Linked DNA regions of Nothobranchius furzeri. The protein of the gene in region 1 purifies or fractionates together with the protein of each later gene. This does not show direct contact. Links are inferred from orthologs where the notes say so. Each region holds a gene or a part of one and is shown on either strand. Other genes may lie near its edges.

Region 1 (2,930 bases):
TAGTCCATAATATCGATACCACAGGGATGGAATATCTAATTTAGATACCACTTTTAGCATCGATTTATATCTGGGTATTGATTTTTTTGACAACTCTACTGCCTTCTCCAGGTCAGGGATGAGGTCCTGCCCCAAGTGGAGGAGTTTGAGTATCTTGGGGTCTTGTTCACGAGTGAGGGAAACATGGAGCGAGATCGACTGGTGGATTGGTGCTGCATCCGCAGTGATGCGGGCGCTATACCAGTCTGTTGTGGTGAAGATAGAGCTGAGCTGGAAGGCAAAGCTCTCAGTTTACCAATTGATCTATGTTCCTACCCTCACCTATGGTCACAAGCTTTGGTTAGTGACCAAAAGAATGAGATCGCGAATACAAGCAGCCAAAATGAGTTTTCTCCGCAGAGTGGCTGGACTGTCCCTTAGAGATAGGGTGAGAAGCTCGGTCATTCGGGAGGGGCTCGGCGTAGATCCTCTGCTCATCCACGTTGAGAGAAGCAGTTGAGTTGGTTCGGGTATCTGGTTAGGGTGCCTCCTGGCTGCCTCCCTGGTCAGGTTTTCCAGGCACATCCAACTGGGAGGAGACCCAGAGGAAGACCCAGGGCACGCTGGAGGGACTATGTCTCTCAGCTGGCCAGGGAACGCCTTGGGATTCCCCTGGAGGAGCTGGGGAGAAGGAAGTCTGGGCCTCTCTGCTTAGGCTGCTGCCCCCGCAACCCGAATCCAGATAAGCGGCTGAAAATAGATGGATAGATGGAAAATTATTGCTTTTCCTGATTTGTTTTTCTGTATAAAGAAAAAAAAAATCCTAACTAAAAGCTGAAATATAGGCCTGCACGATATTGATCAATATTGCTGTTTCACTGCGCCTAATATTATCTCAAAGGATTTTAATAAGTTGCTGACACTAACTTTTGACTATCAGAGGTTTCCACTCCCATAATGGCCCTCGATCAGCACACCATGTTCTGTATGAATCTTTATGAATGAACATGGAGTTTCTGTTGCTGCTGTTCATTCATTTATTTTTACTAAATCTGACCAGTAACTAAACTTAAACATTCTGCAAATTTACACCTTTACCTAAGCTTTGCTTTAAAGTAAACACTGAAATGTGGTTTCATTTTAGTTATAAAATGTTCTAACTGATCGTTATGTCATGTAAAACATCTCTTTGATGGCTTTACGTATGCACAGTCCTCAGGAAAAATAAAAAGCTCTTCTTGCTTCTCTCTGGTTCTGTGGGCCGCGTGGCTGCAGGCCCGGCAACAACAGGCAGAACTCGCCCAGCAGGAGTGGTTGCAGGTGCAGCAGGCTGCCCAGCAGGCACAGATGGCGGCCGCATCTGCCAGTGCAGCCCAGCAGGCTGGTTCCTCTCAGGATGAAGATGAGGAGGATGACCTGTGAACTCCGGATGTGGGTACATGTTCGGACTTTGTCCTGGGACACTGCTGGCACACGTATCTTCCAGCGTTCTCGTTGGCGGAGACGTCTTTGAGCGCTGAAAATAAGCACATTTGAAGAGAACAGTGAAAGAGGAATGGGCCCCATCCAGATCCTAGTTCCTGGAAACGATTTGGATTGAATGGCTGAGTTTTGTGTTAACCTTATGTTCCCCATATAAGTTACTTATGTGAAATGAGCTCTTTGATGTTCTGTTGTGATTGGATTTGTAGTTGTGAACACACTGAGAGCAGATACTGGGACGCGTCAGCGACTCAAGCGTCAAGTCTCTGCTCCTTCAGGTACATCACAGACGCCCAGTCCTCAGTCGGTGGTTTAGATGAACTCGTTTCTCTTTATTTGATTATTGGTGGTCACTTTTACAGGAAAGATTTTGTTTTCTCCCTTAGCATTTTTGTTCAGACAGTGAATTTGTTTGAGGCATTGTGAATATTGAATTTGTTTCGTTATGTAGAGAAATAAATAGACCTTTTTTTTTTATTTTAGCTTGTTCTGATATTTGTCATTTTGTTCTTCCTTAGAACCGCCCACAGTATTGGTAATTAGCTGCAAAGTTGAGCAAATTAAACTTTTATCTCATAGAACCAAAGATGGAGGACAGACTTACTGCTCAGACTTTGTTTTTAAAAGTGTAGGTGCTACCGTGATACTTACTGCTGACTCCAGATCAGTGTAAATGATGTGAGGAACCTTGTGAGATGCTTTTGTGTTCAGGCTGAAATGATTTCCATTTTCCTCTGGAGCAGTATCTAAATATCTTTATTGTGACTTTGGTCAGCCCTCAGCGTTAAAAAAAAACAAGTTGTGAAACAGTCATTTGTTATTCTACAAAGTTGTATTCTTTAAGCAATAAAGAAGTGTTTTTATAGGTCAGTGTTCCATGTTTGCTTTAAATACTCATAATAAATACTTTATTGTTTACATAGCTGAATGTGCTAACAGCACAATCACACAAAAATGATCAATGGAAATCAAATTTATCAACCCAAGAAGGTCACACTCAAAAGTAAAGTTGATACACACTACAGGCAAATCCACCTTTGATATAATGTAAATGCCCTGTATTTGATATAGTGCCTTCTAGAATAGTGATGGGAATTCCAGCTCTTTTTAGAGAGCCGGTTCTTTTGGCTCAGCTCACCAAAAAGAGCCGGCTCCCAAGTGGCTCCTCAGATTTTCTGTTGCGTAGAGTACATTTATAACCAAAATAATGCTAAACTATATGTAAAATAATTTACTAATGTAAAAAAAGCAATATATCAATTGTTTATAATTTCTATGGATTTAATAACTGAACACTTTAAGAAATCTCCACTTTCCGACTGCTGGCGCTCATTTTCTCACCGTCTTCGTCGCACTCTCCTCTCTCTCGCTCGCCTTTTCCCTCCTCCTCATTCCCTCTCGTCTACCTCCACCCGCATGTGCTCTGCTGTGTGTCTGAGTCTGATCCTCCCTCTTCCCCGCCCCTACTG
Region 2 (2,593 bases), on another chromosome or scaffold:
AAGGACGGAGTCCGGCAGATTCCCATCGAGAGCATTCCTGGCATACGTACGTAACCCTCCGCAGAACCCAGGACAGAATAACTATTTGTCTACGTTTAGGTTGAATGTAACTTCATTTGATTGTATTTACAGGTGAGACGGGCTGGAAACCAGCAGGAAAAGGGTGAGAGAAGATTCCATTAGAAGCATTTATGTGTTTATTCATATCCTTGATTTAACTCAAACCGAGTTGTTTTTTCTTGTAGGAAGGAATTGAAGGATCCGGACCAGCTGTACAGCACTCTAAAAAACATCCTCCAGCATGTGAAGGTAACGGAACAGACCTTTCGTCAGCTGCTGTGTCTGAAATAAACACTCACAAACTCACACAAGCTTTATTTTAGAGTCACCAGAACGCCTGGCCTTTCATGGAGCCTGTGAAGAAAACAGAGGCACCTGGTTACTACCAGGTCATTCGCTTTCCCATGGGTAAGTACCGGATGGAGACGATAAGCCAAACTTCTTAAAAACAGCAATACAAGTTAGTATGTATTCAGACCTTTACTCTTGTGATCTCGATTTATGACCAGAGGGTCTACAGCTCTAAAGACAATCTTATCAGATAATCCTGCCGTGTGTTGTGTAATAAGTGTGCTCTGGTTTGTTTGGATGCACGTCAGGTCTAGGGTTGTCACGGTGTGAAAATTTAACCTCACGGTTATTGTGACCAAAATTATCACGGTTTTCGGTATTATCGCGGTATTTTTTAAAACGTGTTACATTTTCAGACAACTACATAAACCCTGTATATCAGGAAAATATTGTCCTCAGTTTGTGTCTAAATTTTGCCTAAAATTTGTTATTTTGTAATTATGTTGTTTATTTGTTTACATTTTTCCCCTTTAGTCTTTAAAATACTAATATTTGCCCATAACTTCTTATTTTTTGTCTGGTTGATGTCCAATGGCGGTTTTAAACGGGGGCCCACAGGGGCATGGGCCCTTGTAGAACCGGCCCTGGCCCCTGTGCTGAAGAGATCGGAATTTTTTTTTTCCGCGCCACCTCGGAGACGGGAACTAATGCGCTGCAGCGTTTCACACGGAGCCTTTAAAGCGCAGCACACTCTGTGGACAGAACTGTTTACCCGGTGGATTTTTGAATACAAGATTAAAAATAGTTTAAATGGGACCCGAAGAAGTTCTTGAGCACGACTAACGGAAAAGACGCTAAGAGACGAAGGTAAGCAATACAGTTTATTTTCCTGACATCAGTGTTTTGATCTAGTCGCGCGTTTCTGTCATTTACTTTTAAGTTCCTAACTGAGTCTATCCACAGTTAACACTGATTAGTTTTTCCTTTGTAACATTAACTGTAAAATAAACATGAAGTTGCTGCATTTTAAGCCTTAGACACGTTGAGATTAGATCACAGTATTCATTTATCTATGACTTTCTCGCAGCACTGACTGGAAGCATCAGCGGCAATGAAAAGAAAAAGGGTCATTTTGTCCTTTTTTACCGCTGTTAATAAAGAACAGCGTAGACAGAGAGAGGATGAAAGTCACGAGGGAGCTGAGAAGCAGGATGAAAGAGAGAAGGAGGAGTTGGTTGGAGAGGAACCAGAGAGGTCAGACTGTCCACCCTGAGAGTGAGGAGGAGGAAGATGTAGGCTGTGAGGGAGAGAGTGAGGAGCAAAAAGAGGGACATCTTCTGTCATTTGCACTGTGTACACTACCGTCAGGTTTGTGGTGAACAACCCCTCTGTGTTTGCAGCTCATATTGTGTGTAAAATGCATTTGAGGCATGCTGACTCTGGACCAAAATTTATGTTGTTTATATTTAATAAATAGATAAAATAAGACTCTGAATTAACTTATTATGACTTTTATCCTCATGCTAACATTTATTTTCTTTCAGATATCAGCAAGTGCAAGGATGACCCACCTACTCAGCATCATTTGAGGACATTTCCAGTGACATTAATAGGAGACAGAAGATGCAGCTTTCAGCCAAGCTGGTATGAAAGTCATCCTTGGGTTGAATATTCTGTTACTATGGACTCTACCTATTGTCATGCATGCAGACATTTTAGCTCACCAAGTAGCGCAGGAAGTGTGTTTGACTCACCATGTGGATTTAGGAACTGGAAAAAAGCAACTGAGAGAGGAGGGGGTTTTCAGTACATGCAAAGTCTGAAAGGCATAAGGATTCAATGATAGTGTGGAGGGACTACCAGAGGGCTGTGAAAGCTAATACAACATTGGCTAATATACTCGACAAGGAACACAGTAAAAAGGTTAAAGAAAGTCGTGAGTATATCAAAACAATTGGTGAAGTGATTTTGCTTACGTGTGTGTGTGTGTGTGTGTGTGTGTGGACTACAAAAAGCAAATTGTATTGTGCAGATATTTTATTTGTTTGAATGTTTATTTTTCATATGTAGTTCATATAATCTTCAAATAAAGTCACAAACTATAATAATAAAACTAGAATTATTTTTTACTCAAGTCTCATGTTACTGTGAAGCATTCAGAATTGTTATCTGAGTACCATAAAAACATGTCAGTTTTACTTTCACAAGTAGACCATTACTACATTTGCCGTAATAGTTTACT

What was found.
Region 2: the proteins of dr1 (region 1) and kat2b purify together in Homo sapiens (affinity purification with mass spectrometry; 3 studies listed by BioGRID and IntAct, with this or other methods). This does not show direct contact. The link is inferred for Nothobranchius furzeri from reciprocal best matches to the Homo sapiens genes DR1 and KAT2B.

What each region holds. Positions count from the first base shown.
Region 1 is NC_091756.1:58,161,599-58,164,528, reverse strand, and holds the end of dr1 (protein Dr1), read left to right. Parts: intron 1-1,254; coding exon 1,255-1,401; 3' UTR 1,402-2,326; downstream 2,327-2,930. UniProt on the Homo sapiens protein: The association of the DR1/DRAP1 heterodimer with TBP results in a functional repression of both activated and basal transcription of class II genes.
Region 2 is NC_091759.1:19,563,047-19,565,639, forward strand, and holds the end of kat2b (histone acetyltransferase KAT2B), read left to right. Parts: coding exon 1-46; intron 47-132; coding exon 133-163; intron 164-245; coding exon 246-309; intron 310-383; coding exon 384-468; intron 469-969; coding exon 970-1,184; 3' UTR 1,185-1,218; intron 1,219-1,895; 3' UTR 1,896-1,995; downstream 1,996-2,593. UniProt on the Homo sapiens protein: Functions as a histone acetyltransferase (HAT) to promote transcriptional activation. Has significant histone acetyltransferase activity with core histones (H3 and H4), and also with nucleosome core particles.